3 linked regions of the Schizosaccharomyces pombe genome follow. Changing the gene in region 2 together with the main gene of any one other region gives a genetic interaction. Each region holds a gene or a part of one and is shown on either strand. Other genes may lie near its edges.

Region 1 (5,606 bases), on a different chromosome or scaffold from region 2:
TCGCACAAGGAATTTACGAAGTTTTGCTATGAAGTGTATAATGAGATTAAAATTAGTGACAAAGAGTTTAAAGAAAAGAGAGCGGCATTAGATACACTTCGGCTATGCCTTAAACGAATATCCCCTGGTATGTTTGAATATAAATTTAGGACTGTCTCAATTATGTAGTTAACGAGAGTGGAGACTTTACCAAATATTGATAATGTCCAATTCTAATGATATGTGACTTAGATGCTGAATTGGTAGCCTTTGGAAGTTTGGAATCTGGTTTAGCACTTAAAAATTCGGATATGGATTTGTGCGTGCTTATGGATTCGCGCGTCCAAAGTGATACAATTGCGCTCCAATTCTATGAAGAGCTTATAGCTGAAGGTAAGTATAATTATTCATTAAAAGTTATTCAGTTTAGACAAACTATCTCTGAATATTGTTTTTTTCCTTTCCAGTTGGCTCGCATAACTAACTATCGACAGGATTTGAAGGAAAATTTTTACAAAGGGCAAGAATTCCCATTATCAAATTAACATCTGATACGAAAAATGGATTTGGGGCTTCGTTTCAATGTGATATTGGATTTAACAATCGTCTAGCTATTCATAATACGCTTTTACTTTCTTCATATACAAAATTAGATGCTCGCCTAAAACCCATGGTCCTTCTTGTTAAGCATTGGGCCAAACGGAAGCAAATCAACTCTCCTTACTTTGGAACTCTTTCCAGTTATGGTTACGTCCTAATGGTTCTTTACTATCTGATTCACGTTATCAAGCCTCCCGTCTTTCCTAATTTACTGTTGTCACCTTTGAAACAAGAAAAGATAGTTGATGGATTTGACGTTGGTTTTGACGATAAACTGGAAGATATCCCTCCTTCCCAAAATTATAGCTCATTGGGAAGTTTACTTCATGGCTTTTTTAGATTTTATGCTTATAAGTTCGAGCCACGGGAAAAGGTAGTAACTTTTCGTAGACCAGACGGTTACCTCACAAAGCAAGAGAAAGGATGGACTTCAGCTACTGAACACACTGGATCGGCTGATCAAATTATAAAAGACAGGTATATTCTTGCGATTGAAGATCCTTTCGAGATTTCACATAATGTGGGTAGGACAGTTAGCAGTTCTGGATTGTATCGGATTCGAGGGGAATTTATGGCCGCTTCAAGGTTGCTCAATTCTCGCTCATATCCTATCCCTTATGATTCATTATTTGAGGAGGCCCCAATTCCGCCTCGTCGCCAGAAAAAAACGGATGAACAATCTAACAAAAAATTGTTGAATGAAACCGATGGTGACAATTCTGAGTGATTTTACAAAGAAGTCTTAAAAAGCGCATCAATATTCATTCCCCTAGATTCATAGTAATCATTCATTATTACTCTGCTTTTATTTGCTTACTTTTGAAAGCATGGAATGTTTTTATTTTTCTTTAAAAATTTTGACCTCTTGTTTCTAATACCTTTCCCCCTTTGTTTTATGTACAACCTCTTGTTAATAGTCTACTTGTTGGTGAGAAAATAGGCTCATCATAGTTAACATCAATGTCCAAAAAATTTTCATAGATCTATAATTAATAATTATTTATTGCAAATGCTAAGCTATTGTTTATATCAATTTCTTTAAATTGAACGGAAATAACCAAATATTTTTTCGTTTAGCCTCGGTAATGTGCGTAAACACATATAAAGAGTTTATCTTTTTTTCTTAATTACTATAGCGTACAGAAATTATTTTAGCTTATCAAATTTTTTCGTAAAATTCATATTGTTTCCAAATTTGTAGACGCATTGCAGCATGCTAACCATCACATTTGAACTTTTACCAAACATTCAGCTGGGTCTATTTCCCTTCTGTTCGTTGGTACAATTCATTAGAACATAATAAATTTGGCATTTTTCTCAAGGTGGGTATTTAACTATATTTCGAGATTTTGATGCTTTAAGCAAAAATGAGGATAACGAAAAGTCCTCCTAAAAATCAATATTCTCAGCCACCTCCTAGGGTTGCTGAGTTTATTAGACAAGCTCAAAATGAAGAAGTAACTTCAGACTTGGGTCTTGTCTCTCTTTGTTCAGAATTCAGAAAAAACGATTGGCCATATCCTCGTGGCGATTTGTATTCATGGGTCCCAGTTTTGAATAGGTTTGATGCTATTCTGGAACGTATTGTTGAACATTATTCTTTAAAGGATAAAGTTCAGACAAAACCTTTTGATTCTGACACTTTGAGTATCTTGTTAGAGATCCTGAGCTTTTCGGCGCATCTGCTTAGTCATTGCGCGAATCGCTCCATATATAACTCTACTGTTTATCTAGAGTATTTATTAAATAGCTCTGTGCTCGAAGTTATAGATTCTACATTAGCCTTGCTTCTTCATATTGTACAAAAAGCAACGATTTCAAAGCGAGGAAAGCAGCTGTTTTCTCTTTCACAAGATCGGTTATTTCGCTTTTTAATGTTTCTTCCTCAAGATGCAATGAAAACCGGATTTTCACAAAATTACGAGACTTTGTTATTTTCAAATGAGATCCCGCAAGAATGGTGTTCTTTGGAGCTTTCTTATTATAAAAGCTCTCCATCAAAAGATTTTTCATCTGCAAGTCAACCAAATTCTGAAGGATTTTCGATTTTAAAATTACCATATAATAAAGTTCTTGGAAAGCCTATAGAAGAGCTTCTTGTGAAAACTTTGCACGATAATCAGATTCCTGAACAATATTCATTTGATCTCCTTGTTTCACTAATGTTACGTCAAAATCTTTATGATATAAATAGACGGCGCTTGATGATTCGTATCGGATTATTGGCTCTTTCTAATCTTGTTTATGCTCATTCTCAGGCAGTTCAAACAAGATTTTTAATCGCCGATCCGGAAATCACCACCCATTTAGCTAATTTGGTTTCTCCAGATGTGGATCTTCCTCAAAACTTTAAAGCTGTTTGTTTTGAATGTTTTAAAGCTTTCTTCTTTAAGAAGAGTATGATTCCATCTGTACTGGCATCTTTAAATGTATCTGTTAGTTACGGATTAATGATGAATCTCGTTCGTGATTTTTCTAAAAACTTAGAAAACCCGAATTTCTATTACGAGAGAGAATATGTTGATAGTTTTTATGACTTCCTTCAATTTATGACTTCATCGCCTCTTGGCGGTAACATGGCCTGTTCTGCAGGTCTCACTTCTCTTTTGGGTTATCATCTGTCTGTGAAGACTCCACAGGCTACTTATGTTGTAGCAAGATCGATTGTCATGTTGGACCATCTCATCGATGGTTACTCTATGGCATTCCCAGATTTTTCTGAGTCTAAAGGATTGGATATGCTGGTTGACCGTGTTCAATACGAGCTTGAGGCTGGACTTCAAGATATTAAATCTGGAAAAGGTAACCCAGAGATTGTTTTAAATATGGATTATGCCATTTCATATGACCGTTACTTCCTTCTAAAAAATTTACTCAAGTTTGTGTTACATCTAATTCAATCAGGTGGCTCTGTCGTTGAGCTTCGTAATTTAATTGATTCTTCTCTCATTTCATCCCTTGCTTTTCTGCTAGAGCACCATGAAGTCTATGGCTCCAACTTATTCGCATCTACTACTAATATAATGTCAACATTCATCCATAATGAGCCTACTTGCTATGGAATTATTCATGAAAAGAAATTGTCACATGCATTTTTGGATGCTGTCAATCGGAAAATACTCAATTCTTCTGATGCAATAACATCAATTCCTTTAGCTTTTGGTGCAATATGCTTGAACTCTCAAGGGTTTGATTTATTTTTAGAGAAAAATCCTATCCCACAACTTTTCTCAATATTCACATCGTTAAATCATTGTAAGTCACTTATATCAAGCGATAATGCTGCCATCCTTGGTACTTACATCGACGAACTTATGCGGCATCAACCCTCCCTTAAAGATCCAATTGTGAAGATGATATTTAAAGCCTGTGACCAGGTTTCCGCTCTTCTTGACAATTTCAATCCATTTCAATATATAAATGCCAAAGAATATCCTTATTTGTTGTATCTTGAAACATTTTCTAGTTTTCTTGAAAATATTATTACAAACGAAGGTCACGCAAGGTATTTAATATCCAAAGGGATTGTGTCGCACGTGCTCAATCTCATTCAACATCCCGTACTGGCTTTTGGATTTATAGACTCTTCTGCCTTCAACTCGTTTTTTGTTCTTTTACATCATGCAGTTGATTTTGATGCTCCAGAGGTCTTTCGGCCCTTGCTAGACTGTATAATTACTCGATGTGAAGAAGGCATTACTGAGTTTACTATAGTCTCACTGAAACAAGCCACGATTTCATTGATAAAGGACTCAAATATGGGCCACGAAGATGCAAATAATTTTCTACATTTCTCAATCGTTGGGAATTTGCTGACTATTTTCGCTGAGCTATTTTCTTCCCATGCTGCATTGAAAAAAGCTGGAAATCTTCCATTAGTTCAACTTTTTATTAGTCCTTCACGTTATGCTGGTATTTTTGATATTTTATGTAATATTAAAAGCATTGCAACATCATTGGACATACATATATGTTTAGGTGTTTCTGATGACTTTGTTCTTTGCAGTGACTCCTTGACTACCATCGTTACCGACAAAGATGAAAAAGAAAAGTTTGAGACAAAGAAAAAGGAATTAACACAAGATTCATCTTTTTGTAAATTTCAGAATATACGTTCGAATTTTTCTCAAATTGCTTATGGAGTATCTAAGTTTTTCACTTCATTAACTCGAGCTTTAGGAAATACAAGCGTACAAGATTTCAATGAATACAAAATGATTCATAAACTTGGTAGTAATATCGCTCTTGTTGTTGATGAACTTATTAACTTATCAAGCAAGCAAATCACATCTCATCCGCAATCCCTCAGTATTGCTTCTTTAGAGGCCTCCTTAATTTTTGTTTTAGGTGCTTCATCCATAATTCGAGAAGATGATTCAAAGGTTACTCTTGTGCTTCTGATCAGTCGTCTACTGGGTGGGTGTCGAACAATGGATGTATTGATTAGCTTAAATGAGACCGTTTCTGGCTTTTTTCGTTTGTCCGATAGAGATCCTCTTTCCAAGAGTAATCGTGTTTTGCTTGCTCTTTCATCCACCTTATTGAACTTGATTCTTGTATTCACAAGTGCTGACTTTATGTCCGAAACAAGTAAAACGTTAAACATGGCTTTAAAATCCGAGTTCGATATGACTGATTTTAACAACAGCGGTTCAAAACTTATGCACGTTTTGCATGCCCGAATTTTTATTTCAGTTTTGCATTTATGGCGATCTGCTGACGACTTACACCTTCCTTATATCACAAGAGCATTATTGACGAATGTTTTGTCCAACTGTTACCAATTTGAAGATGGTATCAAAAATGTAGTGGATTCGATTAACAATTTGCGGACATCGATAGCTAATGGTGATATTAAAGAACCACTGGATGTTGTGACGGATGATAACACGAATAGCAATTTTTCATTAGAAGAAACAAATGCCTCTGTAACAGATATGCCAGAATCCGAAAAACATGAAAATGGAATTTTTCAAGCTTACCTTCTCAAAGAGATGCCTAATGACATTGTTTCACAGTTTGAGATG
Region 2 (8,493 bases):
ATAGACGTCGCCACTGCTCCTCATTTTTCACTCATTCATAAAATCAAAATTTAAATACAATCTCCAATACGATAGTTTTTTCTAAATACATTTATGTATAGAAATTGAAGCATATGCACTCAAATTTTTGTTGTGTTTATAAATATACATTGCATCGATTCGTTCGTATGCCATGTTGTCTACTGTGTACGCAACAAAGATTCCTAGACGATATGATGTCACCTCGGTGTCAAAATTAGTCAGTGACCAAAAAAATACAGGAATCCCCCTTATCGCAATGTGAAATGGTGTCTGCAATTCAAACATATCGATCATTAACGTGGCTTTGCAAAACGACTAGTACGAGAGGAAACGATGCAACAGTACAAAATGAAATAGGATAAATATCTGTTTACGCACAGACACTTTGGGAGACATATTTCTAGTGCATAGGTAGTTGGGTAGCTGTTGATAAATCCATGTCAAATAAGCATATTGTTGTACTTTAAAACGAACGAATAAAAAGTAAACATGTCTTAAAAGATAAGATGCTTGGTACGAATAGGAAAGATAACGACTAACTTCTATCAGCAGAGTTACTGTCCATTTCAGTGTAGATGTGTCGCTACAAAGGAGGAATTAACATTTTTCTAGTCCTAGGCCGTTCAAATAGATATCCACAATTTGAAGAACAATTAAACAACATTATCTTTTCCAATTTCAATATTTGAATGAAATTTGCTCATAAATGTGCTTTCCTTTGTGGTTGAATGAGAAAATAATGACAAGACTATAAAATCATGTGCGATTTAAAAGACGAAAATAAAAAAAAAGTCGACAATACGAACGATTATTAAAAATCGTTTTACATCCTTAAAGTATTGTTTATCATCATTAGAAGCATAATCCGAAAGATACCATGGTCTACGATATATGTGCTCTTTGTAAATTTTGATGTTTATACTTTTTTTTGATGTGGGTCAGGTTTGTGACTGGGAATTTGGAGTAAGCTGCGCTCATGCTTCTTAGCGATAATTAGCATAGTTTAATGCTTTTTTAATGAATAATTTATATAGATGTTAGGTTTTAAAACGCAGATTTCTTATTCATATGGAATTCTACTAATTTCTTATGTAGCACACGGAGTATAATATATTTTGCTAATCAATAAGTTAACCGCCAACCTGAAATATTAGAATACTCATCTACTTTGAGCTGTTCCAGGTTACAATTGTACAAGTAGTATCAACCCATCCCTAGTATTTACATAAGTGTTTCCGTACAAACGGTGGGTTACTTACAATAAGATCATTAAAATAATTAATTCTCCTGATTATGGTTCTAAGGTTACTTGGATTTTTGAAAACTCTACTATCAAGTTATGTAAATTAAAAATAGTAAAGCCGGTACTTAATAAAAGTATACATTCTTGCCATTTTTTGGACAGCAATTCGGCTATGTATATTTGATCCTTGGTAGAATCCTTTCGTGTTTTTACTAAGATATACGAAAATATAAGTAGACGAGGATCTCTTACTACCTTTCTAATTGCTAATGTGCTAAGTCAGCCCCAGTTATCACAATCGTACAATGTCAACAATTCACCGGGACGTTACTTATGCAATAACCTAGTTGTAAGGATATTCTCACCGGTAAATCCCAACCCGAAATCAGCACTGAAAAAGAAATCTCTTTGAAACCTCAGTAAAAAAGCATCTCTTTTTACATTGAAAATAAGCTTACTTTGTTGTTTTATTATACTAAATCTGTCTTAGCATAGCGATATAAAACATAATGTTCGCATCGATTTTACTAATTAAGTTAGTGCAAAACCTGTCAATGTTATAAATTGCTCACAGTCGCTTTTCTCCAATTTAGTACTGTAATCCCTCAACTACACACTACTAGAAATTTAATATCCTAAGAAATAACAATGTCTCAAATACTAGCTATGCTCCCAGATAGTTTAGTTGCCAAATGGAATGTTGTGGTCAGTGTAGCGGCGCTTTTCAATACCGTTCAATCGTTTTTGACTCCAAAGTTGACTAAGCGTGTATATAGCAACACTAACGAAGGTAAGAATCATGGTTTTTACGAGTTTAATTGATTTATAATACACATAATAAGCTCTTTAATGATGCTTTTTTTTATTAGCTGATTATTTTTTGCTGACTTTATATCTGTAGTCAATGGATTACAAGGTCGTACTTTTGGCATCTGGACATTACTAAGTGCCATAGTGCGTTTTTATTGCGCATATCATATAACAAATCCAGAGTATGTTGAATCAAATCAAACATTCAATTTCCAAAATCATCTGATATTGTCTAACTTCTATTAGTGTGTATTTTCTATGCCAATGCACATATTATTTAGCCTGCTTTCATTTCCTATCTGAATGGCTTTTGTTCCGTACTACTAACTTGGGACCAGGATTGTTGAGTCCAATTGTGGTATCGACCGTTAGCATTTGGTTTATGGCGAAAGAAAAAGCCTCGATTTTGGGGATCGCTGCTTAACCTTTTTTTACTCCCCCATTTTACGTATACTATATTGCTTGGAGAGAAGAGAAGAAAAAGAATCAACATAAATCCATCATTTTTATGCCTTCGGGCTTTAATGCAATGGTTCTATTTCTAAACCATTCTTCAAATTTTTAGTTTAGATTCTAGAATGTTGATGATTTTAAAAAAATTAAGGAAAAGCATGGTGTCTTGTTTTTCGATTTCTTTGCCCAAAGACATAGTAGGGACTAAAAACCAATAGTAATATAACCACTTCAACTTCAATTTGCAACATTGTTAGTTCAAACTTAACCAGAACTTACAAAATCATAGCAAATATCGGAATTAAAAACAAATGTTAACAAAAAAAAGTATTTAACTTTAGTTTCAATTAGGCAATAGAACTGCAGTACGGTCATTCATAAACCGGAACATCTCAATTACAAGATAACCATAAATTAAATGTCATCAGCCATCCAGGACATCTTGTCACGATTTTCAGCCAATATAACTGTGTCACCGGGATTGAAGGCAGGCATTCCTATATACGGGCATCCACTACAACGAAAAGCGTCGCCAAGATAGCAATTTCCGCAACTTGAGACGGCATTTTTACTCTTGAGCTTCTCGGTGAAATCAACTTCGGTGGTGTCTGTAAGTTTTACAGCTTCTAACTGTGCGGATGTCTTGGAAGACTCGTGTTCTTCCATTTCACGTAATCCACAGGTACAGTTCTTGCAAGCACGCTTTTTCTTTCCAGGTTCAGGTTTGCACTCGGGCACTTTTAAAACATTATCGTGGGCACTTTCGTCTAACAACTCATCTTCATCGATGAGTTCTTGATCATCATCACCACTAATAAGGTTTTCCTTGTCAGATTTTAAGAAATCAAGAATTTTGTTTTTGCTCGCTGATTGACCATTTTTGTTTGATAATTTAATGGGAACTGCTTCCACCTGATTGGGACGAGATAAAATCCAAGGACTCTTTGATTCAATAAGCCATCCAGATAGCAAAGCTGTCATTTCAAATGACTCGTCTGCTTCATCGGCAGTAGAATAAACACGAAGTGTTCCTCCAGGATGTACTGATGCAAAGGCTTGTGAAAGTATAGGTCCTAGAGTTGAAGACCATGCACCATCATCAATGGCAGCAATAACTGAATCATATCGATTGATGGGTAAATTAACAAGTTGAGATTGGACGCGATCTATCATTTGCAACTCTCTAGAAGCACCATTATCGATAAGGTCAAAAACTTTTTTCAAAGACTCCTCTTTTGAAGCAAAGCCGGGAGACGTCAAAACAAGGACAGAAGATGACATATTGAGAGAAGATATTAACAGCTTAAACAAAAGCAAAAAAAGTAATTAAAATTATTATATTATTACACGTTTCAGCGAAATGAAACCCTTAGCAATTGGTAAGTAAACCCACCAACGAATACAAAAAACACTATCAATAATAAAAATAAAAACGAAATCTAGATCGTTGTAACGTATGTACAGACAATTAGAAAAAAGTCAAAAACTGTCTTCCTTTTACCGGTCTGAAAGTGGTAAAATTTTTCTTTTAATCAACGGATAAACAAAAAAGTTATCTGTAGATATAATATGAAAATTTCCACGCCTTAACGTTATGAAATGATCAATTATAGAGAAATAATACTCAAACAATAAAAAAAAGGAATGATTAGTATTTTGTTCTTGTTAAATTCTATTTACCACAAGTGGCGACGCTGTAAATTTAACCTGTTGATTGGTAATCCGTCAGCATGTCTTAAAATGAATAGAATCCAATCATGTGGCACTGTAAGGCATATAGCTAAAACAATATTGTGGTTTTCTTATATATCGTTATTTATGCTTATGAAGTACTGCGCATTTCGGTAAGTCATTGATTTCTACTTTGTTCATACTGATCGAACAAGTCAACGGAATCACCGGCTAATCGACTGAAATGTCGGGTCAAGTGAAAACTTGTGTTGTACTTTTGGCTGCACGCAACTATTTCCAGCTTTGAGAACCATTTTTTTGGTAATTTACATTTAATAGTCAAATATTTTTAGCCCTGTGTTTTTTCGAGAAATTTGATATTCGTATTTTGCCGTGGGTGTCATATACAAATTACATATCGACTGTATAAGATAATAATGATAACTTTATGTAAGACTAGAGGGTTTTTTACTTCAAAAAGAAGGATTTATTAAATGCAATACTATCAAATGATGAAGGCGTTACGAATGTTAAAAAAACCGAAGCCAGGTTGTTTGGGTATTGAAATTCAGAGTGTTCCTATTCCCCAACCAAAGAATGGAGAGTTGCTTGTAAAAATTGAAGCTGCTGCCATCAACCCCAGTGATCTAATGAACGCAACAGGGGGTTTCCCGTATACTGTTTATCCTCGAATCGTTGGGCGAGATTATGCTGGTACTGTAATTAGTGGCGCATCTCATTTAGTAGGAACTCGAGTGTTTGGAACGAGCGGTAGCGAACTATCATTCACTAAAGACGGTACTCATGCTGAATACTGCATAATACCGGAAAAAGCAGCTGTTCGTATGCCAAGCAATTTGTCGTTTACTGAGGCAGCATCAGTCGGTGTCCCTTTTACAACCGCTTATTTGGCTTTAAGCAGAGGAGAAACCAAAGGCAGCGATATAGTACTAGTGGTTGGAGCCTTAGGTGCTGTCGGGTCGGCTGTTTGTCAAATAGCAGAGGATTGGGGATGTAAGGTAATCACAGTGTCTAGGAGCGGCTCAACCGATATCAATACAGTGGTGGATCCGGAATTAAAAAGGGTCCACGAATTGGTTGAGAAAGTTGATGTGGTAATCGATACGGTGGGCGATCCTTTGTTGATGAAATCGGCTCTCAATCAATTGGGAATAGGGGGAAGGTTGTCTTATATTTCCGCACCTAAGCAAGGGAGTATAGAATTTTCGTATGACATGAAACAAATATATCGCAAAAATCTGAAGATTATTGGGTGCAATTCTCTCTTACTTTCGTTAGTGGAATCAAACTCACTATTAAAGAATATGGTCGCCAAGTTTGAAGCAGGGAAATATAAGGTATTAAACAAGAAAATTGCTGAAACATCTCTTACTGATGAATGTATAAATTCATATAGAAAACTTATGAATGAATGTTCTACAAAGTTTGTGATTACTATGAGCACAAATTAAGCGTCCGAAATACAGACTTACCAAATTGTTTTTTCTGTATAATCAGTAAATTTTAAAAGAACTATAAATATTTGCTTTGATCTTTCATATCGTTTATTATTATTATTATTATAAAGAGGTATCTATTCGTTAATGAAAAAAACAATTTTGAGCTACGCTTTAAAGAAGGATTATTTAAATTAAGTAAAAAGGATTTCATTATAATTAAAGCAATATTGTTTTAATACTGATAATTTAAGATAGTTTTTTTTAAAATATCGTTATAAAGCGTCGGTAATTACATTGATGCTACTCCGACATTGTTGGTGCCACCGACTACGCTACTCTAATCTGTCGACTTAGAAATACCTTACCACATCTAATTACTGTAAGAATTTATTTCAAGGACTTTTTCATAGTTTTTTTGTTTTTGTAACGACGTTTTCAAAAAGGTCATTGTCAAACATATAAGCTCTTGCCTGTCGTTAAAAAAAGTAAAGACCTTGGTTAATCGTTGTCGTTCAATTATTTGGGCATTTAACTTAAACAGTTTTGTTTAAGGAAAGGTTCTCAAAGACTTTTTTTTAAAAGATTCACTTATAGAACGAAAGACCATTAAAGTGGAAAACCACTCATTTTAAAACATTGAGCAAACAAGAGCTTTTGCATAATATATCAAGTGGTGGTTTAAAACAGGAAATACTTGGACGATTCAAGTTCAATAAAAGACATTAAAGCTGTTGGTTTATTTTACAAAAAAAAACATCCGTTCGTTATATTTATTTATTAGTTCTAGGCGGCATTCACAATGAACGAGCAACAATTGCTGGAAAATATTGCTTCATTAGCTGGTACGTTTTGATTAAATTGTATTAACGTCTTTTGATTGTCTGTTATACAGAATAAATTTGGTCGACTTTGAAGTTGGATTGGTTTAACTAATGAGCTTTTTGGTTTTTGAAACCAATGAATAATTAGGATTTTCAAGGAGACAGATTTTATGCAAAAAAATATCTTTATGTTTCTTTATTTATGAAACGCTCAGTAATAATATAACTAACCTTTAGGTGCTATCAATCAATATAAAAATGAAAAAGGTAAGATGCCCATTTATGAGGAACTTTGACTCATGATTTTAGCAGAACCTACCCAGGTTTTAGATGCCGCTAAAGCAAATAAGAATACTCGTTCGTATCCCTATTCTGTTTCTAGGAACTATTCTTTTATCCTCAATAAATCCAATCGCTCGAAATCGACAGCTGCTAGCCCTCCATATGTGATACCGTCAACATCATCGAATGCAGACGATGCCAATAAGGAACCTGAAAAACAATCCACATCTGACTATGTATCACGGAAAAACAGACATATGCAACTGATTAAAAAAAATATTCTTGAACATGATTTGCAAGCGAGAAAAGCTAATTTGGAGAGCTACAGAGCCAAGCTTGAGAAAGAATACAAAACTTTAGCCGAAAATAAAATCCAGCAAAGATTATCCGATGGTACTAAACAATTAGTAACTATTGACGGACTGCAGTATATTACCGGTGTATCTGATACCAAGTGGTTGGAATTTGTTAGTGCTAAGGGACAATGTCCAAAATATTTATATTGGAATAATAAGTCTTATCTTCTTAAAAAGAAGAGGTTTCTCAAGGAGGTTGGAAATTCACCTTCAGCTGTTTATTGCCGTTATTATAATGCTAATGGAATTTGTGGGAAGGGAGCAGCATGCAGATTCGTGCATGAGCCCACCCGCAAAACGATATGTCCGAAATTTTTGAATGGTCGATGTAATAAAGCAGAAGATTGTAATTTGTCACATGAATTAGATCCCAGACGAATTCCTGCATGCCGGTATTTTCTATTAGGAAAATGCAATAACCCAAATTGTCGATATGTGCACATTCATTACTCTGAAAATGCCCCTATATGTTTTGAATTTGCCAAGTACGGTTTCTGTGAGTTAGGGACGTCTTGCAAAAATCAACATATTCTTCAGTGTACCGATTATGCTATGTTTGGTTCGTGTAATAATCCACAATGCTCTCTCTATCATGGTGCTGTTTCCGCTGATGTACCAGAACAAACAGAAGCTCCAATATCGAAGACTGCTGGTTCTATAAATCCAGAAGACTCTGGATCGGAAATTGGAAGTAATTCCTTAGAAAGCAACTTGGATTTTATATCCGTTTAGATAATTCGTTTAGCAGTTTGATCTTGTAGAATTAAATTATCGTGTAGTTACGCAATGTCTAAACTTTTGATGATAATGAGTTATAATTTTCTATTAATTGAATACAATAAATTTTTAAAAAATATCATAAGATTTAGAAAGAAAATAGAAAAAGATTTCAACTAGTTGATAAAGAATATTATTTTTTAAAGACTAAAACTAAGAGGCTAGGTAATTACAGCAACAAGAGTAAAATACATTAGATCCACATTTTTTACGATTATCAAAGAAAAAAGAACAAGATTGATGGATCTATCAAACGGAAAATTAAGGTTGCAGTTGAATACCGTCCGAAGCGCTCTTTGAAGCTTCTATAAATCGTCGAGCACTTTGAATGTTCATAAGGGTTACTGCTGATTCGATTTCTGGATCAGCAATGACCACCAATATGTATGTGTCCTCAGTATATGGAACAATGAATGCAGAGAAATTACCACCACGAAGCTCAAAAGTAGTAAATTGAGCTTGCATTTTGCTACAACTGAGTTTAAATTGCTTAACAATATTGCTAATTTTTTCGAACCTGTGAGCATCAGTGGCAGGATTGGACTCAGAAGAATAAGAAGAAATAACCAAAAATGTTGTTCTTTCAAATAATATTACCT
Region 3 (4,491 bases), 650 kb from region 2:
TACTGGAAGTGAATTTAATAATATAAATTACTATCATTATTAAAGATAAACATATAAATCTCGTAGCGTCATCATAAAAAGTGTAAATCCTTAACTCACAGAAAATGCGTTATAGAATAAACAGTATCAAACCACATAAACTTTACGAAGAAGTTGGAATGGAAACTCTTTGCCAGAATAAGGGTCTCTAAGAAATCCTTCTCTAGTCCCATTAGCTTCGTTCCAACTTATGAGGCTCTGGATACCATAAACTCGACCGTTCGGGAAAGCAACAGGACAATTGTCGCTGTCAAGTCCTTCGCCTGTCAGAGAATCCACTATCGCAGACTGAGTAATATGGGCATAAGGAAGAGCTTTGCCAAGGTCATTTAAGCAGGGCGTACATACAGGGCATTGTTTCACAGTCTGGGATTGTAATGCTAAAGGATTATCATCATTCGCGTCAAGATAACACAACGGGGTTTTCAGGGAAGATAGACCAGCAGCTAACAATGCATGTAAAAGAGGTACAGACGGTATATTATGAACGGCAGTAAAATTGCTGGTAAACAAGGAAGCCAAATATTCCCATCGGTCATCGGATAGAAGCAACTAATTTGTCAGTATAAGCTAAGAGCAGAGGTCTCTCAATGTAAACTTACCGAATATGGTGAACCATTCGTAAATTCAGGAAAAGCTAGTAGGGCAGCCGCTAGCTGTAGTCGAGCAGGATGTTCATTTGCCCAAGTACCGAAGTGCGCTTTGGCGAATGCAATGGCTTGGCAAAGTTTTTTACTTTTTATTAATTCTATAAATCTCTGTAGTCGGACCTCAAGCTCTAATGTACTATTATTTTTTTTTAAAATTGCTCGATGCTCCGAACACCAAGACAAAACCTCTTTGAGCTCCTGTTGAAGAATGGAATCGTGAATGAGCTGATAACGCTTATATATGCCTAAATCAACCAAATTCTCCAACTGAGAGTCTTTACAAAGTAGAGCAGCTGCCCCATGGTACCCATTCGCCATCATATAATCAGCAACTAAACGATTCAGTCTGACTCTTGACCAATCTAAAAAATCCGCAGATTCCATGTCACGAATTCCTTGAAGACGATTCATGAACAACAGTCGTGACTTAGTTTGCTTGATAAACAGAGCTTCACAATCATGCAAATGCTTCATCTACACAAAGAACCATGTAAGTTACAAATATCCAACTCAAAAAAAGAATCAATCAAACTTACCTTCTTCTTTACAGTACTGACTCTTGAAAGGAGAGAATCTATTTTTTCTATTTTTTCATCCATTGATGCATTCTCTTGACTGATCAACGTTGTCAATGTGGAATTGATCACATGCGATTCATGCTCCAAGTGCCGCAAAATGTGTTTGAAGTTAATGCGCAATTGCTCAAAAGAGAGAAGAATACCAGGCTTTTCAAGTATATATTGCTGCTCTGGACGAAAATTCATGTTTGAAGGCAAAGTCTAACAAACTATTGGTAGATGGACCCAAAAATTTAAATCAACTAAAGAATATTGAATATTTTAAGAATAAGAAAGTAATTAGAAGAATTTGTTTAAATGTAAGGAAAACAGCAATTGCAGAAAGACGATGGGTTGTTGGCGAAAGATACACTTTCTAGGACCGTAGTGCAAGATGAATGAAAAATAAGGAGAGCTAAAAAACAATAAAAAAAGAGGTGCATATATTAATTTATGTCAGGAAAATCTGCAATTGGTATGGAAATCTCCTTTTTGGAATGCCCCGGGTTAATTTTTACCAGTCGACATTTTCGTGCCAAGTACCAATTTTCAAATGTCGCTGGAAAAGTCCTTGGACGAAATTATAAATGAAAGAACGGTAAATTTTTTTATTTTCGATATTTGTTTTAACAATCCTAGAATGGTTTTGATCACAAGCACAGTCGGCGAAGGGGATCTCAAAATCGTATTTCCAAAAAATCGCGATTGGTATGCTAATTTCGAGGATTAAGTGTTTATTTACTAATTTTTTACTTTTTAAGACCTACAAATTCAAAAGAGCATCAAAAGAACACAACTCTAGTCCAGACGATGGCCCGTGGCAGCATGACTTGGATCAAGAGCAGGATGCTCATCCAAGGACCACTCACCTACAGAAAAGACAACAGTATGTTTTGAATTTATAAGATAAGCTGTAAACTTTTTTATTACTCTATTAGCTCTTAGTCTACATGCACTGTTATTATCATTATATACTAACACAGCAATCTTAGCTCAGAAAATCGATTTGGGGTTCGTGTGGAAAACTTACATTATCAGGTTTTGGAAAAAGATGTTTTGGTAAGTGATATATGTTTACTATGTTTTCAAAAGCCTCGCTTTTAGTTTTCGATTGAAGATTATGAAACGAACCTGACAAAAAATCTCCCTGTCAAGCTAAGTAGAGCTTTGTTCCGATTTCGAATCGCTTTTTTTATTAATAAACTAACCTTTTCTTAAGTCTTTGTTTGAAAATTTCCATCCAATTCGCGTGATTATGAACTATGATCGTGCAGGTCGCTCTGAAGGCTCCTGCGATGTTTACTTTGAAACTTCCCAAGATGCTGAAGATGCCCAGAAGACGCTTCAATCTACGAACTTGAAGGGCTCCGAAATTCAAATTTCGAAAAAGTCTCCACCTTCCTTATTCGATCGGATTTCCGACATGCCACATTCAGCCCGCAAACCAAGCCGGTCTTCTCGTTCGAACCGAGGATTCAACCGTTCTTCAAAAAAAGACGACAGATCATTTCGTTCTTCTTCAAAAAAGTCTTCTAATAATTCAATTTCACACGAAGATTTAGACAAAGAACTTGACGAATACGCAATGTCATTTCACGCTGCTTCAACTGTGTCATCTCACTCATCACAGGATTTCACACCGTCAATAGCCAATGCTCATGAGAAAAACGAGCCTGTTGCTCCTTCAAAAGATAGTAATTTGACCGAGGAGATGGACCTCCAAATGGAAGCGGTTTAAGCTCGAATTGCTGTGCAAGTAACCCTTTTCCTATGCCAAAAGTTGATTATTGAGTCAATTGCTTTGATTTGTACATTATAAAAACGAACCGGCTAAAAGGACATCTTTCATCATAACCCCTTACTTTATATATAGATGCTCGTCAATTTCCATCGTCTTCCTTCTTCTACCACAATCGTACGAATCGTACCAAAAATTAAAATTTGCAGCAGACAGATTCATATTACCTTGCAAGGCCAAAAATTTATTAATTTTATTTTTTTTATTTATGTTTATAAGTGCTTGTTAACGAAAGAGATATTTTGTTTTTGTTTCTGGCATTATTCCATTCTATTCCTACTACAGTGATCATAGCAATTAACAATACATCATCACTGTGCTCTTGTAATTTGATTGAATCGTTTTTGACACAATCTTTCATTCTTTAAAATAAAATAAATTTATATATTTCTACATTACATTCTTATTTGTTAGGTAGAAATGGGATTGGGATTTTCTTCGAAAAAGCAATTACCTGCCTACTGTGGTCCCTTGCCTGTGGGGTCTTTAGTCTTAGAGCTGAGTGTTCCAGAGGAATTTCGATGTGAATATAAAACCATTGAACACAAACTAAGAACCGTAAAAGTACGCATTTTTTATCCATTGGACCCAACAAAAGATGTAGAGCCTCGCACCGATGAGCTTTGGTTACCATTCCATGAGGGTATACCCGAAGTTGCGAAAGGTTTTCGTTGGTGGCTTCTTCGTGCGTTCGCTTCTGGTTTGACCAACTTAGCTTTGCCCGTCTACAAAGGAGAGTTGTTTCATCCACCGAACAATGGGAAACTGCCAGTATTTATCTTCAGCCATGGATTGGTTGGCTCGAGAAATGTGTATTCTTCGTTATGTGGTACAATCGCTTCCTATGGTATCGTCGTCTTGGCCATGGAGCATAGAGATAACTCGGCCATCATATCTACAGTGCGTGATCCATTACATCCTGAAGAACCCCCGTACGTTGTTCAGTATCGCGAGATAAGCGACTTTTATGCAGACGCTACGGTTGTGCTTCAGAATGAACGACTTTTATTTCGACAGCAGGAAATCCAAATAGCCCTCCAGATGATTCGAAATATCAATGACCTTGGAACTCCGGACGAAAACTTACCCTTTCTTTGCTCTGTGGACTCTTCTTTTTATAATTCTGTTTTCCAATCCATGAAGGGTAATTTGAATACCGCTCAAGGAGAATTGATTGTTGCTGGTCATTCTTTTGGTGCCGCTACTTGCGCATTCATTTCCGGTTCTTCTACCAAGTCCTTATATAATGACTATATGTTTCACACTGAGTTTAAGTGCTCCATTTTATACGATATATGGATGCTTCCCGTACGCCAGCTCCATTTGAGTACGATGAGGTATCCTACGCTCATGATTATATCTTACGAATTTCGTCGGTTTGTCGACAATTTTCAAGCTCTCGAAAGTTGGCTTGTAAACAAGGATTCAGAAAACCAAAACGCAGGCG

The links.
Region 1: mutations in red5 (region 2) and ptr1 impair growth when combined (synthetic growth defect), as found in Schizosaccharomyces pombe (one study listed by BioGRID).
Region 3: mutations in red5 (region 2) and tho4 impair growth when combined (synthetic growth defect), as found in Schizosaccharomyces pombe (one study listed by BioGRID).

The regions. Positions count from the first base shown.
Region 1 is NC_003424.3:5,206,830-5,212,435, forward strand, and holds the start of ptr1 (E3 ubiquitin-protein ligase), read left to right. Parts: upstream 1-1,810; 5' UTR 1,811-1,946; coding exon 1,947-5,606. Other genes in the region: terminal uridylyltransferase Cid1, read left to right, coding at 1-127, 232-372, 474-1,306. UniProt on the Schizosaccharomyces pombe protein: Probable ubiquitin ligase protein involved in mRNA export. E3 ubiquitin ligase proteins mediate ubiquitination and subsequent proteasomal degradation of target proteins.
Region 2 is NC_003423.3:1,045,623-1,054,115, forward strand, and holds red5 (zinc finger CCCH domain-containing protein), read left to right. Parts: upstream 1-5,980; 5' UTR 5,981-6,457; coding exon 6,458-6,500; exon of another isoform or gene 6,501-6,574; intron 6,575-6,710; exon of another isoform or gene 6,711-6,716; coding exon 6,717-6,746; exon of another isoform or gene 6,747-6,791; coding exon 6,792-7,849; 3' UTR 7,850-7,993; downstream 7,994-8,493. Other genes in the region: Erg28 protein, read left to right, coding at 1,913-2,054, 2,166-2,256, 2,321-2,498; dre2 (anamorsin family protein), read right to left, coding at 2,942-3,808; SPOM_SPBC337.11 (peptidase), read left to right, coding at 4,693-5,670; Gtr1/RagA G protein Gtr1, read right to left, coding at 8,156-8,493.
Region 3 is NC_003423.3:399,658-404,148, reverse strand, and holds tho4 (THO complex subunit), read left to right. Parts: upstream 1-1,783; 5' UTR 1,784-1,799; coding exon 1,800-1,844; intron 1,845-1,885; coding exon 1,886-1,954; intron 1,955-2,007; coding exon 2,008-2,132; intron 2,133-2,149; exon of another isoform or gene 2,150-2,238; coding exon 2,239-2,305; exon of another isoform or gene 2,306-2,465; coding exon 2,466-2,984; 3' UTR 2,985-3,195; downstream 3,196-4,491. Other genes in the region: gid9 (ubiquitin ligase complex subunit), read right to left, coding at 127-591, 642-1,163, 1,226-1,453; plg7 (1-alkyl-2-acetylglycerophosphocholine esterase), read left to right, coding at 3,465-4,491.